3 linked regions of the Canis lupus familiaris genome follow. The protein of the gene in region 1 interacts with the protein of each later gene in a pairwise test. Links are inferred from orthologs where the notes say so. Each region holds a gene or a part of one and is shown in the gene's direction. Other genes may lie near its edges.

Region 1 (7,852 bases):
GTCCACTAGATGTTAATAAGCACACGTTTCTCTTTGCAGAGCTCTGTTCATCTTGCTAGAGACTATCACAGAAATTAAAGTGCCTTGCAAGACTTCGGGGGCACTCTATATCTCTCCAAATTTGATATTTCCTTTCCTGTATGCCCATATGGAGTCTCTCTGTTCCTCTTCCACTCTTCCTTCTGATTTACCACCGAGAAAATCCTTATTGGTTTGGCCCACGTGTTGTTAGAAAGGGAAACGTGTATGGCCAGAGCTCTGACTTAAAAGACAGAGAGGACAGTAAACTCTAGGAATGGGCAGGATTGAGGATGCTTCCTCAACAGAGAGTCAGTCCAGCAGAAGAACTGGGGAAAAGGGGAGAGAGCAAAACTGAGAGTTACAGACCACTCCTGCATCTGACTGCTATGAACTCATCACAAATCCCAGCAGGCAAGACGGTATAGTGGCTACTATGGGACACCTGAAGTGGCAGATTCGGTCATGGTCTTTCAGGCTTGTTACTCCTGCTATTGCATCCCCACTCATCAAACCAAGCAGCAGATGTAAACCTAGAGGGGCAATGGAAGCTACAGGGGAGGTTGCAGGGCCGGAGCCAGACAGGAGAGAGAGCAGGCAAATTCTTTTCCCAAAGGAGCACAAGGGGACAGTGGTCTGAGGGTGTTCTTTCATGTATACCATCTTTTATCATCTCAGCTAGCCCAGAATATTTCCTGAGGATGGAACGAAGGCCCACCTGGCTCCCAAGCTCACCTTCTGCTGCTGCCCAGCACCCACCTTTGACTTAGTGACTGCTGTGTGTTTGTGAGGCTGGGGGCCAGGGTAGAAACAATGGCCTTGAGATTTTAAGTCTTGGAGGATCTTTTCTGAGAGTAATATTTAAGACCCAACAGCGTTTACCTTGGAGTAAACAGGCCCAGTTCCAATCACGGCTCTGCCACTGACCGACGGTGTAGACTTGGGGTAAATGGCTTAAGCTTCTTACACTTTAATTTCATAGCTTCAAAGTGGAGTTGTTTTGAGGCTTAAGTGGCAGAGTGCCTTTCAAACACTTAGCCTAGAGAGCGGCATATAGTAAGGACTTAATAAACATTATTATTATCATATTCCCTATGCGTTGTTTGAGAGTTGGTAGCTAAAAACATTTGTGAATGAACAGCTTATACCAGCAGGTATAAGAAGAAATGCCAGGAGGTTTGGAGTTGTCAAAAGTCCCAGCCATTGGTTTCAAATGGCCAGCACCAGCCTTGGAAGCTTGGCCACTTCTGACTCTCCGCTCTGAGTGTCTCTTTGCCAAAAATGTGCCACCTGGTCCTCATCCAGTCCTCCATCCAGTCTCTGCAGGTCCTTACTGGAGAGGAAAGCATATTTTTCTAATTCCAAAACTGGGATACGAGGCCCAACTAGTATAAGTAAGTCTAGAAGGGGACAATGCACAGAATATTTCAATCTGGTTCTAGTTTAGCTATTCTAAGAAATGCGCCAAGGGGGACTCTTAGCCAGTCAAAGTGCCTGCCTCTCCCTCTGCAATTCAGGCACCTCCACTGTCCAAGTGGCTGACACCTATTTCCACAGGACGTCCTTTGGGTAAAGACTGCGGGTTACCACACTATTTAATAAGGGGTGGGGGTCGTGGGTGGGTAAAATGTATTATCAGCCCTTGACACCTTGGCCTGAACTAATTGTCAGGTCATGAAAAAGAGCTCCTAATAGGGCCTTAGGGGGGCCACGCAAGGACAGTAATAATGGACTAGAAATGATTTCTAAACCGAAATGTTCCTGCGTGCCGAGCCCCCTGGGCACCTGGTGTGCAGGAAGGGAGAAAGGGAAATCAGTAAAGTGCAGAACAGGGCTGATAGTTGCTCTGATTCCCAACTTCACCTAAGATAGGTTTTGCTCCTGCAAATTTCAAGGCTGTGGGGCCTCAGGAGGTCACCCCCAACAGGCCGCCGTCTGGGCGGCAGAACGCTGGGATGGGGACGCACGGAGGGTTGTGAAATCCCCACCGGGGCCCAGAGTAGGGCGCTCCCCGACGAGCTCATCACGTGCACAGCCCTAGCTTTTCCAACCCAGCCCCGAAGGCTGCGGTCCCGGACGCCCGGGTGGTTTTTAGGGTTTTCTTTCTTTATTATTTCCCTTATTGTTCTCCACGGTTGGTGATTTTCTGCAGAAAAACGGCTGAGAAAAAAGAACCTATTTCATTTCCAGTTCCCATCACCGCGATTTCCACATGGATGTGACGTTGGGCCAGCTTCCGAAATGCCCAGGTGACTCACGCGGGGACACCCGGGGGCGGGGCTCAGGAGTTTCTCGCGCGGGGGGGCGGGGCGGGGCGGGGCGGGGCGGGGCGCCGCCGGCCTCCTGCGCCGCCCGCGCCCCCTGCGCCCCCTGCGCCCCCTGGCGGCCGGCGACCGCGGGGCTCGGCGCCGGCCCGGGCGTCACGTGACTGGAAAGTCCCCGGGTGGAAATCCCCGTTCTCCGCCGGCGGTAAAACAGAAAGGGAAAAAGAGAACTGGCAGTCTGCAGTCCTCGCAGCGGGCCGGTGCAGCGCGCTCGGAGCCCGCGGGGGCGGAGCGGTGACAGCAGCCGCCGGGACAAGTGCGGCGGCGGCGGCGGCGGCGGCGGCGGCGGGCGCGAGCCACACAGCCCCGCGGCGAGCGAGCGCCGAGCCCCGGCGTCCATGGGGCGCCTCCTCCGCGCGGCCCGGACCTGACCCGGACTTGGGACTCTGGAAGAGGATCGCGCGGCCGGACAGGTAACCGCCGCGTGCCCGTGCCTCTGCCAGCGGCGTCGCGGGGCCCGGGCTGCGCGGGTGCGTCACCGGCAGCTCCTCGCGGGCGGGAGCTTGTCGGCCCGGGCCCGGCCCGGAGCTCGTCGGCCGTCGGCGCTCACTGCGGGATGTGAAGTGCTGGGAGTCGAGGCGGCCGCGCACGACGCTGGGGTGACAGCTCGGGAGCCCTCCGGCCAGCTGTTCCTTGTAGATGCTGCCAGGAACGTAAGCTGCAGCAGGCGGCTGGAGAGGAGCCCCCGGACGGCCAGGTCGCGTGGTCCTCGGTGCTTTGCCCCTTTGCGTGCCTTTTTTATTTTTCGATCAAGCTCTGGATGCTCGCGGACACGGAGACCTTGCAGAGCCGACCCGCCGTGGCTTCTTCCCGGCGGGTGCAGAGCCAGGCCACCCGCCGGGCGGGGGGGGCGTGGGGGCCCGGGCCAGCCAGCCTGCCCTGGGTCGGCTTGCAGACCCCGCAGCCCAGTGCAGGGAGGCGGGTGGGCGGAGGGCCGGTGCTGAGCTGCTGCAGGCGCCGCAGTGCGCGAGGAGTGTGCATGCTCAAGCGGGACGTTGGCCGGCTTTTCGGGTGCTCCAGTGGACGGCGACCTGGAGGCCCCTGCCCCAGCCCCTACCCCACAGTCAGACGGTCGTTGTCAGCCCGGGTCGTCCCACATCCTGCCACCTGGCCTCTCAGGAAAGCAGTGGTATTAAGTAAGGAAGGAGCTCAGCGCTTTTGAGACCGCTTTGTTTTCAGTTCTCCCCGCCTCTGATCTTCTTTCCTTGGAAAGCTGGTCTGGTCAAGTGTCTCAGGGCAGCCTTTGGGGAGGACCGTGGTTCATCAGTCCCCTGGACCTTAGCACTAGTGTCTGCAGTTGTTACGCAGCCGGTTATAGCTCCATTCCCATCGTCTAAGGTGCTTCTTTGTTTTTTGTTTTTTTTTTTTCTCTTTTTAACAATTCTGTGTACAAGTTTTGGAGTTTAGGAGTGAGAGTTACCAAAAATTCGATGAGGCATTTATTGATTTAAAAAAAAAAAAAAAAAGTCAGTGAGGTGACAAATGTAAAAGAAATGGTAAGGGTGATAGCATATGTCTTTACCTGTAAGGACGTTACAGTTATAGGTCAGGAAAATTTATTCTTTCATCTTAAACGTGGAGAAGTCCGAGAACTGGGAACTTGGCTGGTGGGTTCTAATTCTTTTCAGGAGGCGATCGATTCCACAGTGTGTGCAAGGCTAAAACTATGAATGAGATGACCCAGGGCTATACAGTACTGACATTTGCATGTCTTACATATGGCAAAGAGCGCTTGTGCTATTTGAGGTCTTTGCTGAAAGATCTTTAAATTAGAAGAGATTAAGAGAAGATTCGGAAAACTCAAAAGGCAACACCTAGCTTGTTTCAAATCTTTTTGCTTCCGGCCTCTTCCCGTCTGGCAGCAGCAGGCACAGGGATGGTGTTGTGGGAACTGCAAGGGGCAGGTGTTGGAAGATCTGGCTTCCAGGCAAAGCTGTCTGCCTTGGGTGGTGTGGAACCTGAGCAGGACCCGTGCTTGTGTTGCCATGGCTGTGGACAGGGAATAAGGGCACCTGTGATTTTTAGTCCCAGCATCCAGCATGGCTCTCAGCAGGTGAGCAGGCAGTGCTTTTTAAGCAATGGACAGATGAATGAGTGATTGTGAGACTGGCCATGCCACAAAGTGGAAATGGGTGTAATGTTTTTATTGCTTCATTATGCTTGTGCCCTGCAATAATTTTGCCCAGTTCCACCTTCAGGGAACTGAAGGAAAGATTACCAACTGGCCCAGAGAATAACTTCTCCCAGGCCTCATTGACAATCAGATTTGGAATCCTGGTCCAAAACTATCACCAGAAAACTCCTCAGAAGCAACCTTGGGTCATCTACTTTAACCTCTCTATTTTGGACCACAAGTTTTAAATCACTTCATCAATGGCTTTAAGAGAGCCTAGACCCACCTAGGAATGGCTTCCCTAAAATCTAGGTTTCTTCTCACTCTTACACAGGTTTCAAGTCTTCCTCAACTAGAAGCTTGCCCTGGCAAATAGTATGGTGCAGGAGTGAGATTAGCAATCTCCATGAAACTTCCTAGGGAATGTCTTCATGCTCCAAAACCATCTTTGCCTTCATCTTGGAAACCAAGATGTATGTTGGGGCACCCTGCTAAGGCTTGTGGCTTTCCACACAGCTCCACACTGCAGAGATCCCACGTTGCATCAATTCACAACATCCTACGCTATTGGCATGGGTTGTAGATGCTGGGTTTTGCACCACCCCCCTCCCCCCGCTTCCTTCATTTATCATGAGCATCCCCCTGGCTGAAACATCTTTCCTTGCCCATTTCCAGACTTTTATTTCCTTCTACCAGCAGATTATGTTTCAGGATTCCAGGGTGAAGACAGGGTGGGAAATGCATTTGAGTGTTGGTACCTGGACAATGATAATAAATGTAGTTAAGTTGAAATAATTGAAATCTAATGCCTGCTCTCGGAAGTGTAAAATTTATTCTTGTATTATTATTATTATTATTATTATAATTCTATGTCCTATTCTGATGTTGTGAAGTTCAGTGGAGAGGTTCTGAAAGACTTTATCATTGACCGTTAAAATTGCAAAGCTTCTTACTGGAAATAGGCTTTTTCATTGGTTCTAAGATATTCAGTTTTAACTTTTATAAATATTATAATACATTTTTATAAATAAGCTCTTGATAAATATTTCTCTTCGGGGCTAAAGAGGAAACTCTAATCAGCAGCCTACGTGACAACATAAAATTGTGAGATTTTCCACAAAACATTTATTCTGCAGTGTAGGGTGGGAGGGCTTAAAAGAGATAAATTAAGGCTTTGCCTAAAAGCCAGGGCTGCTCAGCAGTGGTCTTAAGGGAGAAGCTAAGGACTTGTCAGGGCCACCTTGTGCCCGTCACTGGCATTCAGAGCTCCGAAGACCCAGTGGCTGTGTCAGAGTGGCATGCGAATGAGAGGGGAGCTTGTTGGTTATGAGGTGCAGTACCTGTTGCCGACGGATGGGCTTGGCTCCCTGACAGACGTTACTGAAAACACGGGTTATTCCCCTCCTCCTCAATACCCACTCCCCGCCTTCCTTCTCTTGTTTAGACTAATCTTTAAAAGTGATGTAACTTAAAACAGTCCAGTGTGAGTTAATCTCGGGGGCCAGCTAGTATCCTGGAGTAGAGGTGACTAAGATCTTTTGCCTACAGATGAGGCTAATGACAAGATCAAACACTGGGGTTTCCTGCAGGCAGGTATATAGGAGTGGTATCGAAGTCGGGCTAACGGAATGGGTTTTTCTTCCCTCCTCTTCAGGTGTTGCAGAGCACGATGGCTGAACAGCTCCTTCCCCAGGCTTTGTATTTGAGCAACATGCGGAAAGCTGTAAAGATACGAGAGAGAACTCCAGAAGACATATTTAAGCCAACCAATGGGATCATTCATCATTTTAAATCCATGCACCGATACACACTAGAAATGTTTAGAACTTGCCAGTTTTGTCCACAATTTCGGGAGATCATCCACAAAGCCCTCATTGACAGAAGCATCCAGGCCTCCCTGGAAAGCCAGAAGAAGCTCAACTGGTGTCGGGAAGTCAGGAAGCTGGTGGCACTGAAAACGAATGGTAAGAAGCTTTTGTCTAGGGGTTGGCTCCCACAGTACTGGATCCCCATTCATCAAAGTCTAATAGCACTGGTCCAAACTCAAGCCTTTTGAGAGCATAACCACCTTAGTATAGAATACTCAATAAAAAGCATGTGATAAAAGCAAGCTTGTATACAGGTGTTTTTATTAAGGATATTTTGTAGTTGTGCATATTAGAGAGCAGAACCACTCAGGCTTGAGGAATGCATCTCTAAACACGGTGCCTCCCATTAGGGGACTTAGGTATCTTAATTTTTGTGGCTATTTGTGTAATCATTTGTAAAATACCCTTTCCTGGCCAGTCATGGAAACCTTAAAAGACTTTAAGTTCAAAAGGAAAGCATGGTGTGAAAATTAGTATTACTATTGTCTCCCACAATCATTAGAAAATGTTCATAATGATGACCTTACATATTTTGAATTGATGACATGTTATGGCTTAACCAGTGAATGGCTGCTGTCTGCCTCTCCCTTACCTAGGTTCTGTTGGTTTTGGTCCCAAGATACAAAGTAGAAAGATACTTGAGATTTTTAGCCCAGATTTAGAGGTCTCTAGGTCTTTACTGCACTATTTTTAGGGATTCCTAGTTCTGAATTTCTTGTGTCTCTCTGTGTGTATCTACCTATTGGCCCTTTACTACTGGTAGTTGTTTCCTGTTCTAAACTTCACTGTTTTGTTTTTTGATTATTACCCTTGAGCAAGAGTATGTGTATCATGGCAACATCCGAGCCTACGAGATACAAAATCCTACGTTATAACATCACTGATTATTACAGCATCAAGTAGACTGTTCACCATCAATTAAATGCTTATAGTCTAGGTGAGGGCAGAAATCAGGTACTTATATAAGTAACAGTCCTTCTTTAAGACCACCTCGATCAAAATAATAGCCCTAAGCATAGGAAATCCTTGTCAGTGAGAGGATAATTAAGTTAGTTGATACCTTAACTTTGGACATTTTTGAGTTGGGTCATGTGGAGTGATTGGAGATACGTATTCTGGTGGGGGGGTCTTGTGTATAATTACTACAATATCTTGCATCTTGTACTTTTGAAGTACAGATTCTTAGAAACAAAAGTAGAATGAAAACTGGGGAGAGCTAGTGTTTACATTGTTCTTGGCCTTAAATCAAGTGATGCGTAGAAGTGGGTAATTATGTTAAGTCATCATCAAGGGGTTTATATTCCTGACAGCTTGTGGTTTTAACTCTCTTCCATTTTGTTACCAAAAAGACAGAGTGAACGTTGGGAAAGTTGGAAACAGATTAGAGATGTGGTAGGAAAAGGAAAACCTTCCGATCTTTAACAGAATTAACTGACATTTTAGGTTGAACTTCTGCCTTAAGAAGAAATGAATGTAAATAGTCAACACTTGTCTTGCCAAGATAAGTCATTAAAGTCAACAAGGATTCA
Region 2 (7,754 bases), on another chromosome or scaffold:
TCGAATCCCACGTCGGGCTCCCGGTGCATGGAGCCTGCTTCTCCCTCTGCCTATGTCTCTGCCTCTCTCTCTCTCTCTCTCTCTCTCTCTCTGTGTGTGTGACTATCATAAATAAATAAAAATTAAAAAAAAAAATAAATAAAATAAAATCACAGAGCAGCTGTATGACTACTCAAATCATGGAACATTTTTAAACCAGTTTCCTCATCTGTAAGATGGGAATGGAATCTGTACCTACCATACAGAGGAATCTGTACCTACCTTACAGGGGAATCTTGAGGGGAAAAAAAATATACCCATTTCTGCAAAGCTCCTTGCCCAGAATATGGCATATGTTCTTTCAAGAGTGGGCGTGGATGAAGTCACCCAGGAGAGGATGGAGTAAGAAAAGCAGAGGGCCTGGGGCAGAGCCCTGCAGAACCCCAGTATTTTAGGGCAGGCCGAGAATACAAGCCCACATAGGAGACCAGAGAAGAGGAACAACAGAGCAGCAGAGGGAACCCAGAAGAATACAGGGTCATGAAAGCTTGGAGGAGAGCCTAAGAAGGGGGAGCAGTTGTGCCCAGTGTATTCAAAGGGGCCACGAAGGTGAGAACTATTAAATGACCTTGGAGTGACAATAGGAGGCCACTGGTGGCCACAGTGAGAGGGAATAGAGTAGGAACAGACCCAGAATATACTGAGCTTGAGGGATGGTGGGAGGTGAGGAAGTGGAGGCAGCGAACTTTGGTAAAAAGGAAAGAAAAGCTTCATGGGAGAACCAAAGCGTCCCCCATTTGACAGAATTAGAATGCCCTAGTCTACCTAATTTTCACTGTTTTGAAATCAATCTGAGCCCAACATGACCAGAAAAGCTAGAAGGGCTGTAACCTCTCTAAGAGCTGGAATGAACCACCGAAATCCTCCCGTCAGCACTGACCCTCCTCCCACCTCTCACTGGAACCCCATTTTCATGGAGGGTGGGGTGGACAATTAATTATCATTTATCATGTTCTTTAAAGATATCCACCAGGGGAAAGATCAGCCTAGTTTGTTAACCTCAATTCCATTTGTAGTTAGCAAAGGTGACTCTTTAAAGCACGGTGAGGGATCCCTGGGTGGCTCAGTGGTTGAGCATCTGCCTTTGGCTCAGGGCGTGATCCCAGGGATCGTGTCCCATGTCGGGCTCCTTGTGAGGGGCCTGCTTCTCTCTCTGCCTATGTCTCTGCCCCTCTCTCTCTGTGTGTCTCTCATAAATAGATAAAATCTTAAAAAAAAAAAAACAAAGCACGGTGCAACCTGCAGTGGGAACCTTCTCCCAGATGCACACTCAAATCCTGTTTCATGGGTACTGAGGTCCTCATTATAGCATCACAGTGAGGGGAAGGTGGCTCAGAGGCAGGAGACCTAGTATGGGGACCCCAGCTCTAACTCACTGTGCAAACTGAGGTTCACCTCTTCTGCCCCTAGTTTCCTGCCTCAGTTTCTCATGGGATAAAGGGTCAGATGACAGTGACTCTAAATGTCCTGGCACCTTGGACATTTTAGGATTTCTCTTCTACGGTGCATTTAACAGTCTTTCAGGTTTAATTGCTAGATAGTAAAACTAAGGTCCAGTTCCTGTCTTCTCCCTGCAAATGCATCTTACTCTTCAGAGCAAGATTCTTGGCTCAAAATACGACTTCCACACCTCTTCTGGTTCCCAGGGATCCAGGGATAATGAGTCAAATCTTCAGACTGGCACTTAAAACACTCCATTATTTCATTTTGCCCAACCTCATTTCCCACTGCCCACCTCTCAGATTTTCTGTCCTCACTGCCAAGCCTTTGCCTGTGCTGGACCCCACTCCCTTATACCTTTTCCGTCTCATCTCCCACAAGGTTCAGCTTACCTGCACTTACGTATTTAGATATAGCTTATGAGACAAGAGGATGTATCCTTATTCTGTAGCTACTCCTTCCCCCAGTGCTGAGCACGCAATAAAATTCTCAAAGAGACTAAGGTCCCTTCTCCTGTGCTACCCTTGGGATACCCTTGTACTTGAGTGAGGCTATGTTTCAGTCATTGAGATTTTCCTAGTTTGTCCGAGGCCCAGCCTCGGGGCCTGGCATGAGCGGCCCTCAGCAAAGAATGCCACAAGTGGGGCGCCTGGGTGGCTCCGTGGTTGAGCCTTGCCTTTGGCTCAGGGCGTGATCCTGAGGTTCCAGGGCTGAGTTCCGCATGGAGCTCCCTCCCTGCAGGGGGCCTGCTTCTCCCTCTATGTCTCTGCCTCTGTGTCTCTCACGAATAAAAATAAAATCTTAAAAAAAAAAAAAAATGCCACAACTGGGAGGGCTTAGAGACCAGTCAGCCCATCCAACCCCCTCTTTGCCACAGAAGGAAGTTCAGACTGGGTTTGAACTCAGATCCTGGCTTCACCACATACAGGCTGTTTTAACCTTGAGCAAGTCATTAATCTGGCTTGAAAATGGGGAGACCAGCTGTGCCCACCTGAGGGGTGTGGGTTGAGAGGATTATGTTTATGCCGATACGGGCCTACCACTGGGCTGGGTAGGTAGGTCGTGGACATTACTCCTCCCAGCCCCCCCCCCCCCCCCCCCCCGTCCCTCCTCTGGTGGAGGCCCAGGGCTGCAGCCCGGTGGGTGTGAGAGGCGGGCGGGGTGCTGTCCGCAGAGTCCAGACCCGACGGTGCCCTGGGCAGCACAGATGCTCCCGGTGCAGGGCGCGTCCCCACGGGATCTAGGCCTGCAAGGCGGCGGGGCGGTCCCGGCCCGCCCCCTGGGGCACACGGCCTCCTGGCTTCTCAAACCGTACGGTTATCTGCTTTTTTGGGTCCTTCTCAAGGCAGACCTCCAACCTGGCCTCAGAGACGCCCTGCGAGGAGGAGCCATGGCACTGAGCTACCTACGCAGCCGCCGTCACCGCGCCCCCTCCCGGGCCCGGGCCCGGGCTCCGCAGTCCCCACCCCACTCCCTTCTCCCACCTCCACCTCTGCGGCGGTAAAATGCAGCACTCGCAGAGCGCCTGCGCAGCTCCCGGCCCCGGGGGGGGGGGGGCGGCGGCGGAGGTGGCGGCGGCGGCTATTTATAGTAGGTGACGTCACCTTGAAATAGACCGTTAGGGCCGGCCCGCCCTTCCCCCCTCCCACTCCCGCCGCTCCCCGCCGCCCGGCCCGGCGGCTCCCACTGCGCAGGCGTCCTCCGCCCTCCCATCCCCCCCCGCGCGGCCGCCTGTCCTCCCTCGGCGGCGGCGGCGGCGCGAGCCACAGCGTGCGGGGCGAGCCAGCGAGAGGGCGCGAGCGGCGGCGCTGCCTGCAGCCTGCAGCCTCGGCCGGCCGGCGAGCCAGTGCGCGTGCGCGGCGGCGGCCTCCGCGGCGACCGGGGAGCGGACGCACGGACCGGCGAGCGGGCGAGCGGGCGAGCGGTGCGGGCGCGAGGCGAGGCCGAGCCACGAGCGACATGGGCGACCGAGAGCAGCTGCTGCAGCGGGCGCGGCTGGCCGAGCAGGCGGAGCGCTACGACGACATGGCCTCCGCCATGAAGGCGGTGAGCGCGCCGGGCGGCGTAGGGGAGGGATGGGCGGCTGGGCGGCAGCTCCCTCCGGGCCCGGGCCGATCCCGCGACCTCGCTGGGCGCGGCCGCCCGCCCGGAGCCCGCGCTTCCCGCGCCGCGCCGCGCCGCGCCGCCCCGCCATTTCCTGCGGCCGGGCCGGGGTGGGGTCGGGGGGGACACGGCCCCTCGGGCACGGTTGGGCCACAGTGGCCCCTGGCGGGCGGGGTCGCCGCGTCCCAGCTCGGAGCCGGGGTGGGGGGAGGGGTGCCCGCACTCCTCGTCCTAGACCGTTCCGCCCCGGCCGGGGCTCCCCTCCCTTTCGCCTGCCTCCGTAACCCCAACTTGCAGTACGGAATCACCCCGTGAGCGGCTCCCCGCCTGCCGCGACCTCAGTCGGCGAGATTCCGATCCGTAATACGCCCCGCCCGCCCGCATCGTTCGCGTTCCGTCTTCCCACGCCTGGCTCCGGCTTTGTGTGCGAAGACCCCCCCCCAACCCCACCCCACCCCACCCCGCCCCCCTGCAGTCTAGACGTGCACGCCAGCGCGAGGGCGGAGGGCGGAGGAGCGCGGCGGGTGTGGGACCCCACTCCCAGGTTTTCGAGGCAGCGGGCATCTGTCCGGAGATCAAATGGGACGTGACTTCTTGGCAAGACAGGGCTGTCTGTGCCTTTGCCTTCCCGAGACCCACCCGCCTCCCTCGTCCCCCCTCCCCCCTCCCTAGATTGATTCTGCAGCTTGATTTCCGGCGAAGGAGTCGTGCCCAGCCACACCCTAGCACATACCGTGATCAGGCACCTGCATAGATGAGTCCCCGTTATCCTCTTACTGCCCCTCTGTCTTCTAACTTTATTTTACGTTTTCTCTAAATGAACATTACTTCTCCGCGTCAAGGTCACACAGTGGTAGAGCTACAACTGACGGCCACCAACCTGCTATGTTCAACCAGTGTACCTCATCCTCCGGAGACCTGGGAGGATCCGCCTGGGCCCCACCTTAGACCTAAAGATTCTGCAACTCTAGGGGTAGGACTCCGAAATCTACACCCTAACCAGCGCTTATGGCCATCTTTAGCAGGCTGAAGCTTGACAATTACTCGACTTAAGGCTCGCTTGTCCTCTTGCTGGCCTTGTGACATTTCTCATTCATCTACAAATTGAGAGGCTTGCTAAAATTTCAGAATCTTTTGAAAAGCTGCTTTTTCAAAAGCTGCTTTTAAGGCTTTTGATATTAATATCATTTGAAATATGTTGAGGAGGTCAGTATTTAGGATTAACCCGCTAAGGAAGACACTTGAAGAGGTATCTTTCCTGTGGTGTCCTTGTTACACATGGCACTAGGTGTGTTTGGAAACCACTACTGCCACTCATTTGTTGATTCATCGGTGATCCTGATCCGAGCACTGGCATGGTGTCACGGGTTAGATAGTCTAAACCAGGGACACTCTAGATCTGGGATCTGAATGAAGTCTTTATAATTCAGGGGACCTTCTTTAAGGACGTAAATGTAAAAATATATTAATTTTGCAAATTTTACAGAAACAACTGTAAATGTATTTTCTCTGAAGGTTCTGAGCTTAATTTCCTTTGGGATAAGAGCCACTTCCGTTCACACAGCAAGCCACACTTGAATGAGTGTCTTTTTCCCCAGTAACAAAGTGGTAATAGGATTGTGCAGGCTGAGGCCTCTCTAGACGTTTTAGTGAGGCCCTTGTTCACCCAGTGAATGGGGCTTAAATAAAGGTGAGTTGAGTGTCTAGGAAGAACATTCTGGAGCTCTGGGAAACCTAAGGCACCTTGAAATGGGAAGTAGGGAAAGGGTTGAGAGATGTAACTAGAATAAAATACAGTTTAGAGAGAAAAAAAATTGGCTTTCTGGTCTTCATAAGCAGGCTTGAATCATGCTATCCTGTAGCTAGAAACTTAGGTTCACAGATTTTCCCTGAGGCCCAAAGGTAGCATTTTGCAAACTAATAGACCCTTCTGTGTGTTGAGAATCTGTAATATCTATCTGAAATGATTGATGGGTTGGATAAGCCATCCAGCATTGAAAAATCAATCCAAGCTCCAATGATGTCATCTGAGAATTGTGATCAATCATTCCCTCAATGTAATTCCTTTTAAAAAGTCAGAAATTCTTTTGTCATCTAAATTAATGGAATATATTCATTGGAAAGGACTTTGCAAGCTTTAGTGGAAGACTGTTTCTTAGGCTTTACCTATTAAGTTGATATTTGTACATTCTTAATGTCCTTGGGGAGACTCAGTCCCCATTTTATTAATATAGTAGGCTTAAAGTAGAGCTTTGGAAAAAGGGAAACTCCAGTAACCCTTTGGGTTTATGTGGGCTTTCTTCAGGGTAGTGGAAGGGAAGGTAAGTAGACTGCTCTAGGGTAGATGGAGCAGCACGCCCGAGTGAGGAGATGTTCTGATGTCACCACTCTGTAACCTCGAAACTTAACATCTCTTGGCTTCCAGTCCTTTGCAGGGTAAAACTAGTAATGTTGGGGTTACTATCAAGTCATTTTTCTGTCTTTATTCTTCTAATTTGTTTTCTGTTCTCTTTATAATTTAAATGGTCACCTAATAATAATGCCTGCCTGTAATCATTGATGTTCATATCAGCATCACCTGGAGGATGGTGTCGGTAAGCTTTAAGAAAAATCATGCGTATTGGAAACAATGGTGTTGCCTCAAGTCACTTGAGAACCGAAGTTCCCTGCCTTACCCCATCCTTTGAAGAGGCAAGAAATCCTTCTGAAGTGAAGTAAAGGAGGGTCTTCAGGATCTCTTCATCTCCTACCTAGCAGCTTACAAAGAGTGTAATAGTGGAAAGAAGCATTGTGAAAGATTGTAAGAACTTAGGTCCTCTCTAGGCTGGGCTTGGAATGACCTTACCCAAATCGTAACCTCTGAAAAACGGATACTATACCATCTTGTGAGAAAGTGAAATAAACTGGAATAAACCTGTAAAGGGGGATGAAAGTGTCCGTGCATTAGACTAAGTGATTTAAGGAAAGAGTGTAAATAACCAGATTACTGGTGAATGAATACTCGTGGGTAGACGTAATTCATTCACATCTCTTATTGCCTTAAGTCATCTATTTTATATAGATTGTAATTTTGAGTTTATAAAACATCAGAATTAGTTACGAAAGCATGGTGTATTTTAACATTGATACACAGTTGATTACAAAAGTTGGCAAAGAAAAAACAAAAAAAAGTTGGCAAAGGACAGAGAAATACATCTGAAGGCTTGAAGAATTATCTATAGAAACCTTGAGTGCAGGAACAAAGCTGCAGCTTAAAGAAACAGCCTGAGAGGAAGAGGCACTTGGCCTAACCAGTGGCAAAAACTCTTATTCCAACAGCTGTGAGTTTATGGGAAGTGGGGGAATGAGCAGGTGGTGTATAAAAGGAGAGCTCGGCTGAGTTGCTCAGAGTGAGACATAACCCGTGTTGCAGATATTAGAACTAAGGATGATTTTGAGGTGTACCAAAATTGTGGTTAGTGTGAAATCTTAAAGCCACATCAGTGCTGTAGTTAGAAATACATATAAACTAGGGAGTACTATTTCCCACCAAGTGGTCATTTGTAATGTAAGTATTGCTTTGCCATATACTGGCTGAGGAAGAAAAGGTTCTGGATTCTTGCAGTAGCCTGAATTAAAAGGACTTCAGATGGTGAATAGTTCAGAGCCTTGCCTGGAATTTCATATTAGTGGTAGATGCAGTGCCACATTTTCAGAAATGGTTTGGGAGGAGACACCCCAAATGTGTTTCATCGAGTTTATGGAACTTAATCATTTTCCGAATAGCCATTCAGTAAATGGTTGCTGTTACTCCATGTGTACATTCTCAATTTTCATAACTCTGGATGGGCTAACTCGGGATAGTTAACTTCGTTTTACAAATGAGATTTATTTATTTTATTTTTTTTTAAAGATTTTATTTATTTATTCATAGAGACAGAGAGAGAGGCAGAGACACAGGCAGAGGGAGAAGCAGGCATCATATAGAGAGCCTGATGTGGGATTCGATCCAGGGTCTTCAGGATCACGCCCTGGGCTGCAGGCGGCGCTAAACTGCTGCGCCACTGGGGCTGCCCTACAAATGAGAATTAAAGAGGTTAATTTTCTCGATGTCAGGTTGTAAAACCAAGATTTGAACTCTTTAATTTAGAACTCTCACTTTAACCTTGCAGGCCCTTTACACAGGTGGGCTT
Region 3 (7,545 bases), on another chromosome or scaffold:
TGCCCCAAATGAAGTCATTGATAATAAATTTCAGCATATAGGTAGGTTTCCTAACCGAGTCCAAAGCTGCAGGAGCCATAATGCAGGCTCTTTCAAATCCTAATTACTGTTGGAAAAAAAAAAATGAGAGGTTGTATTTCTTCTCCCCCAAATCATTAGAGAACCTTTCAAAGGGATTCGCCTATTGCTAGAATGATGATGGGTGGGAACTCCTGTCATGATGTCACAGTATTCATTGACCACTGATTCTGAAAAGTCAGAAGTAATTAATCGCATAATGATTCTTTTTACCTATTGTCAGTGTCCACTAACAGATGTGACAACTTAAATTCATAAATGACTGTGATCCTTACCATCCATAATTTTAATATGAACCTAAACACAGAGAGCATATTCTTAAAAGCATTAATAATACTTTTATTTTTTCCTTTCCTTTTCCTTACATTGTAAAATATGGCACTGAGAATTCTTCTTCTTTTTTTAAAGAACTTATTCAACATTGTATTCCAAGGATGATAAGGTTCGGAGAGCTTCTTAGTATTTTACATATATAAGAAACTTAAATGACTATATAAATTGGTACACTTGGCATCTAATAATTAGTAAAATTAAAATCTGTGACAATTATTTTTTTCAGTAATTTTTTTATTTTTTAAAGTAACCTCTACATCCAATGTGAGGCTTGGACTCACTACCCCAAGATGGAGAGTCACATGCTCCACCAACTGAGCAAGGCAGGTGCCCCACAACTTGTGAAAATTCTTGAGTAGCAAGGGGGAACAATGATACCGAGGAGCTTTAATAAAACTGAAACTATCAGTGAACTTCACAGCACTTGTCCTCTTAGGCTGCTAAAATACTCTTTCCCAGGTGATCTTCTGTTTCAGGAAATAAAGAATAATAGAAAACTAAAAATACCCAATGGCACTTAGCTTCCACATCACTGCAATGTAACTTGGCGTTTAATAGCTTTCAGTTTGCGTAAATTGATACCCAGCAGCTAAGAGAACTGTTTCAGATTCCCCGTCATAGTAGTTAATGGGAAAATGTTCTCTGAAAATGCAGCCTCCTCCATTAGGAGGCAACATGGAGTCTTGGAAAGGTAAAGGCCTTGGGCTAAAATATTGCCTCCAATCGCTTTCTAGCTCTGTGATCCTGAAAGTCTCTTAAATTTCTGATAGATATTAAGTAAAATCTATTCCACATACTTCACATGAGATTAAGAAGAAGAAGAAAAAAAGACAGTTTCTTTCCCTTCTTCTATATAAGAACCCATTTCAGTCTAGCTCATTTTCTCAGGCTGAGCTTCCAGATCCTATTGCTATATTATTTAATACAGTTGTTTTCTGGGATCCCTGGGTGGCTCAGAGGTTGAGCATCTGCCTTTGGTTCAGGGTGTGATCCTAGGGACCCGGGATCGAGTCCCGCATCAGGCTCCCTGCATGGAGCCTGCTTCTCCCTCTGCCTGTGTCTCTGCCTCTCTCTGTCTCATGAATAAATAAATACTTAAAAGGAACTTTAATATCGCTTTCTAATCCTACAGCCAGAGATAAACCTATTATCCTCAGCTAGGAGTATCTGATTTTGTTAGGGATGGCACTGGTGAGCTTCTGGAACGTCTGATGCTCACATCACTGAAGGTCAGTGCAACTTAACTGAATTCAAGTAATCTATTGAGCCTTTTCCCAGCTCAGTCCAAGAACTTATTGGTGACCACACAGTAGAGGAAGGGAGGGAGAGAGGGAGGGAGGGAGGAAGGAAGGGAGGGAGGAAGGAAGGAAAGAAAGGAAAAGAAAGAAAAAGAAAAAACACGTTTGTGGAAGCAGAAGAGAAAATAAAGCTGAAGCTATCTTAAACAAAAGGTTTTCAGAAAACAGTAAGAATTCCAGAAAAACGCCGCCCTGTGGGTTTTCCCCTAAATCATCAAATTCACTACAAGTTTTCTTGCCATGCACAGAAAACGGAGGTTGACATGAACTGTCCCATCCCCACGACACCCCCTGCAGCCTGGCAGGTGCAGCAGTACCACCTCCGGTGATTTACCAGGTTATCCGTTCCTCTCTAGGGAGAGGCCGTCAGACCTGAGAGCCCCAAGGAGAAGAACCCCCTCCTTCCGCTCGTCGCCCCAGGGCAGGGCAGGGCAGGGCAGGGCAACGTCGAAGGAAAAGACGAGGCCTGAGTCCCCGGGACCGGGTCTTTGTGGCAACGACTTCGAGAACCAGCGAGAGAAGAGGACAAAACAGACTAGAGGGAGTCAGGTGCGTAAAAGTCTACCTTTCAGGGCCAGCAGGTGCTCCTGTTTGGGGGGATTCACTTCCATCCTGACCGGCGCTACCGACCCCCGGCCTACGGCAGCCGCACAGGTTCAGCGCAGCCCGGAAGCGAACGGAAGAGCCGACGTTCGCGAAGCTCCACCTCGCTCCCCACGGGGTTCTCCGCGCTGCTGCCGCCTTCAAGTCTCTTCTTTATCACGTCCTTCACGGACGGACTCAGCGGCTTCCTTTCACCGAAGCCATCCCTCGCTCCTTAGACACCTGTCCATTACATCCCTGTCTATTTCCCAGCGGCAGTCACGCATCACAATTTCAAGAAACCACTTCTCGGTGACAGCGCGCAGCGTCCCAAAGACTTGCATCGCACAGTGAGGGGGGGGGGGGGGGGGGGCGCGGAGGATTTTGCATGCTGGGATTTGTAGTTTATAAGCAGAGCCGCATTGCATGCAGGGAGATGTAGTCCACTCCCCATCCCGCGTCTCGCCTGCCATTAGGCGGAGGTGGTGATCGAAGCGGGGGCTTCCCCTCGAAACTTGCTTCTTGCTTTATCCCTTCTTTTTTTTAAATTTCCTTTATTCGTATTCCTTCCGCCAGTTGCAGATGCAGACCGCATCTTGAATAAGAATACAAACAGCAAAGCGTTCAAATACACGAGGCGGCGCCGCCGAAGAGGTAGGGACTGGCGGAAGGAGGGGGGCAAAGGTCAGCCCCGCGGCGCTCCGCGCTTCCTACTGCGCCTGTGCGCCGGCGGCGAGCGCGGAGGCCTCTGGGTAGGCGGCTGGGCCCCGCCCCTCCGTTGGAGGCCGTGACGGCTGCTCCTGCGGCGCCGCTCCGCGTAGGATGGCTACCCTGATTGTAAACAAGCCTGGAGCGGGACTGGACGCTGGCCGGCAGGGCGGCCGCGGGACGGCCGTGGTGAAGGTGAGGGGCCTTGCGTGCTGTGTTCCCCACCTGCGGCCTCCCCTGGGTTCGTCCCTGAGGTCTGGCGGCCGCGCTCCGCCGTCTTCGCTGGGCCTCTGCGCCCCTCCTGGCGTCACTAGCCCTCCCCTCCCCTCCCCCGTCCGTTCTCCTCCCCTCCGACAGATCCAGGGGTGACTGCCTTTTTAGCTCTGGTTTTCATTATTGCCCTCCTCCTATCACCAGACGTGTGGTGTTGGTTAGTCGGGCCCCTCCTCGCTCGTGAGTACGGACTGTCCACACGTTTGGGACGCGTCCCAGCAGCAGCGTGGCTGGGCATTGGGATATGGGGATTGCCCTGTGCTTCAGGTTCCAAATTCTAGTGTGCTTACATGCTTCAAGATTCATTGATTAAGAAGTCAGTTGGGAGCATCCCAGGGGGCTCAGCGGTATAGCGCCGCGTTCGGCCCAGGGCGTGATCCTGGAGACCCGGGGTTGGGGTCGAGTCCCATGCCGGGCTCCCTGCACGGAGCCTGCTTCTCCCTCTGCCTGTGTCTCTGCCTCGCTCTCTGTGTCTCTCATGAATAAGTAAATAATAAAATCTAAAAAAAAAAAAAAAGAAAGAAAGATCAATTGAAATACGTGGGATTCATCCTTGCCCTCCACTCTAGACCTATGGGAAAGAAGATGTGCAAGGGAGAACTGATCTCAGTGTCTTGTGATAACTTTCAGGATTGTTGTAATCTGAGTTATTGGTAATTGTCATTACTGGCTACATAGTAGAATGAGGACTTTTTTTTTCTTTTTTTTAAGATTTTATTTATTTATTCATGAGAAACAGAGGCAGAGACACAAGCAGAGGGAGAAGCAGGCTCCATTCAGGGAGCCGAATGTGGGACTCTATCCCAGGTCTCCAGGATCGTGACCTGGGCCGAAGGCAGGTGCTAAGCCGCTGAGCCCCCAATAACTGAGAACTTAAACAAACAAACAAACCCTGCTGATACACACCTCCTCCCCCAGTTCTGATTAACTTGACATCAGCATTTTTTTTTTTTTAAACATCCCAGAAGCGGGGATCCCTGGGTGGCTCAGCGGTTTAGCGCCTGCCTTTGGCCCAGGGCACGATCCTGTAGTCCCGGGATCCAGTCCCACGTTGGGCTCCCGGCATGGAGCCTGCTTCTCCCTCCTCCTGTGTCTCTGCCTCTCTCTCTCTTTCTATGTCTATCATAAATAAATAAATAAATAAATAAATAAATAAATTTTAAAAATAAAATCAATCCCCAGAAGCGATTTTAATGTGATTTTAATGGTTGAGAACCAATATTCCAGATAATATCTGAAGTTATTTTAAGATCTTGGTAAGACCCATCTGTGATTCTTCACCTATTATTAGTCTCGTATGACAACAAATGCTACAACATTTCGGCTCACAGGTATGCTATCACTTGTTGATGGCTTTTAATTCGTCTGGCCTTTGTGTATTAATAAAGGTACCCTGAAGGTACACAGCTTTATCTGAGATACAGAGGGGCACTGTTGTTAGGCACGTTGTATGATCGGAGTCTTATTTATTAAATTGTGCTTTATCTAAAAGAGGATCCCTGGAGATTATTTTGTGAATTATACTGAATTAAGTTGTAATTACAATGGATATTATTGGTGTATCTATTATTGTTACTCTAGTTGCCTTAAAATCTCTCTCTCTCTCTCTCTCTATATATATATATATATATGAAAGCCTCATATGACTCAAATTTGTTACAGCACAAAGTTTGATATGTTAGAGGTTCACTTTGTGTGTTTTTTGTCTTCACACATAGAATGTGCCTGAGCTGTGCAGGAGGGTAGTCCTTTTTGTCAAGATCCTTATGCCGTAATTTGTAAGGGGTATGATGGCATAAATTTTTAAAAATCCGACTAATTGTCATTTTTGTAGATGAAAGCAGAAATTATTCATTGGAAGGTAAAAGTTGAAGTCTATAATGTGAAAATGTGAAATAATGTGTTTAGTGAACGAGTTGATAATGACAGGGTTTTTTCAAATTAGAGAAGTCAAAGGCAAAATTTGACATTATGAAATTACTTACATTCTAAAAGAAAAAAATATCAGGAAAGTTTTTTTGTTTTCGAATTTTTCTTAATTTATTTGAGAGAAAGAGCGAGCGTGAGTGTGGGGAAGGGGTAAATGGAGAGGGAGAAGCAGACTCCCTGCTGAGCAGGGGCCTGGATTTGGGGCTCCATCCCAGGACTCCGAGATCAGGACCTGAGCTGAAAGCAGGCGCCCAACCTGCTCAGCCACCCAGGTGCCCCAGGAAAGTTTCATTTGCAGAGTGAGTCTTCTTAGTCTGGTTAGGGTACCTGGCTGGCTCAGCTGCAGGAGTGTGCTACTCTTGATTTTTGAGTCATGAGTTCGAGCCCCATGTTGGGGGTAGAGATTATTAAAAAAATAAGAACTTAAAAAAATATGGTCTGACTTATTAAAATTTGATTTACATGTGATATTAGTTTGAAGCTCCATTTGACATATTTGTGAAGTTGATAAAATTAAGAGCTTTTTTCTTATTTAGGATTTAATTCCTTGTGCTGTTAACCACAGTTCCTATTCATAAACACTGAAGGAAGAATATCTCACTCTCTTGTTTATTGAGTTGATGTGAAATAGTCTAGTAAGTTTATTTTTGGACTCGTGTTTGGTTTGTAAATCTGTGGTATATTACCAGTGCTTTTTGAAAAAACCTGTGGTAGCAACTCAAGTTCTTTCATCTTGTGCAATTATGGGGTCAGAGATAAAAGATATCAATGCACTAAAATTTATTTTGATTCTTTGGAGATTATGGTCATAAATTTATTGTATTACAAAAATAAGAACATATATAAAAATGTTGTATTTATTTTATATCTAATTCTATTGTATCTTTTCTGTATCTGAATGAATTTGATATTTAAGCGAGGATATTATTTATTTATTTTTATTGGAGCAATTTGCCAACATATAGCATATCACCCAGTGCTCATCCTGCCAAGTGCCCCCCTCAGTGCCCATCACCCAGTCATCCCCACCCCCCGCCTGCCTCCCCTTCCACTACCCCTTGTTCGCTTCCCAGAGTTAGGAGTCTCTCATGTTCTGTCTCCCTCTCTGATATTTCCCACTCATTTCTCTCTTTTCCCCTTTAATCTCTTTCACTATTTTTTATATTCCCTAAATGAAGGAGACCTATAATGTTTGTCCTCCAATTGACTTATTTCTTTTTTTTTTTATTTTTTTTATTTTTTTTTTCAATTGACTTATTTCACTCAGCATAATACCCTCCAGTTCCATCCACGTTGAAGCAAATGTTGGGTATTTGTTGTTTCTAATGGCTGAGTAATATCCCATTTTATATACACATCTTTATCCATTCATTCATCTTTTGATGGGCACCGAGGCTCCTTCCACAGTTTGGCTATTGTGGACATTGCTGCTATAAACATCGGGGTGCTGGTGTCCTGGCGTTTCACCGCATCTGCATCTTTGGGGTAAATCCCCAGCAGTGCAATTGCTGGGTCATAGGGCAGCTCTATTTTTAACTCTCTGAGGAACCTCCACACAGTTTTCCAGAGTGGCTGCACCAGTTCACATTCCCACCAACAGGGCAGAGGGTTCCTCTTTTTCCACATCCTCTCCAACACCTGTTGTTTCCTGTCATGTTAATTTTGACCATTCTCACTGGTGTGAGGTGGTATCTCATTGTGGTTTTGATTTGTATTTCCCTGATGGCAAGTGATGCAGAGCATTTTCTTATGTTAAGCGAGGATATTTAAATGAAACTTCTGTCCTGCCTTTTTAAAAAATGTAAGATACATTTAAGTGTCTGTGTATAATACAATTTATGTGTAACTCTTCCCATCTGTTTTCCTCCTCATAGGGAGCCATTTACTATTCCAGTGTAATCCGTTTCCTGTGTATACTGCTAGAAAGATAGTGTGCCTGTATAAAAATACATATATAAATATATGCTCTTTTTTCCCCAGCTTTATGCAAAAGCTAAATATTCTATGTATTTTTCACTTTTCTTTATTCATATGAAACAATTCTGTGTGTATACATAAGAAACTACCTCTTTCTCAACAGACTGCGTGGTTTTGCAGTATATGAATATACTATAATTTATTTTCCAGTCTATACTGATACCTATTTATTTTGTTTCCCATCATTTGCAAATGCAAATGGCGCTGTGAGGAATGATCTAGAGATCTTGTCACACCCTTGTGATATATTTGTCAGATATATTTCTGTAAATACAACTATTAAGCTAAGTAAACTTTTGATAGGTATTGTTAAATTGCCTTTCTTAAAGCCTGTTTTAGTAAACATTTCACAGCAGTCAGTAAGTTT

Evidence for each region.
Region 2: the proteins of TNFAIP3 (region 1) and YWHAH interact in a two-hybrid assay, tested with the Homo sapiens proteins (2 studies listed by BioGRID). The link is inferred for Canis lupus familiaris from reciprocal best matches to the Homo sapiens genes TNFAIP3 and YWHAH.
Region 3: the proteins of TNFAIP3 (region 1) and TRIM23 interact in binary tests that used the Homo sapiens proteins (3 or more experiments, as listed by UniProt). The two-hybrid records come from large-scale screens. The link is inferred for Canis lupus familiaris from reciprocal best matches to the Homo sapiens genes TNFAIP3 and TRIM23.

Annotation. Positions count from the first base shown.
Region 1 is NC_049222.1:30,481,954-30,489,805, forward strand, and holds the start of TNFAIP3 (tumor necrosis factor alpha-induced protein 3), read left to right. Parts: upstream 1-2,619; 5' UTR 2,620-2,755; intron 2,756-3,716; exon of another isoform or gene 3,717-6,109; 5' UTR 6,110-6,124; coding exon 6,125-6,419; intron 6,420-7,852. UniProt on the Homo sapiens protein: Ubiquitin-editing enzyme that contains both ubiquitin ligase and deubiquitinase activities.
Region 2 is NC_049247.1:25,191,917-25,199,670, forward strand, and holds the start of YWHAH (14-3-3 protein eta), read left to right. Parts: upstream 1-3,246; 5' UTR 3,247-3,438; coding exon 3,439-3,525; intron 3,526-7,754. UniProt on the Homo sapiens protein: Adapter protein implicated in the regulation of a large spectrum of both general and specialized signaling pathways. Binds to a large number of partners, usually by recognition of a phosphoserine or phosphothreonine motif.
Region 3 is NC_049223.1:50,588,303-50,595,847, reverse strand, and holds the start of TRIM23 (E3 ubiquitin-protein ligase TRIM23), read left to right. Parts: upstream 1-3,037; 5' UTR 3,038-3,113; coding exon 3,114-3,194; intron 3,195-7,545. Other genes in the region: TRAPPC13 (trafficking protein particle complex subunit 13), read right to left, coding at 2,275-2,320.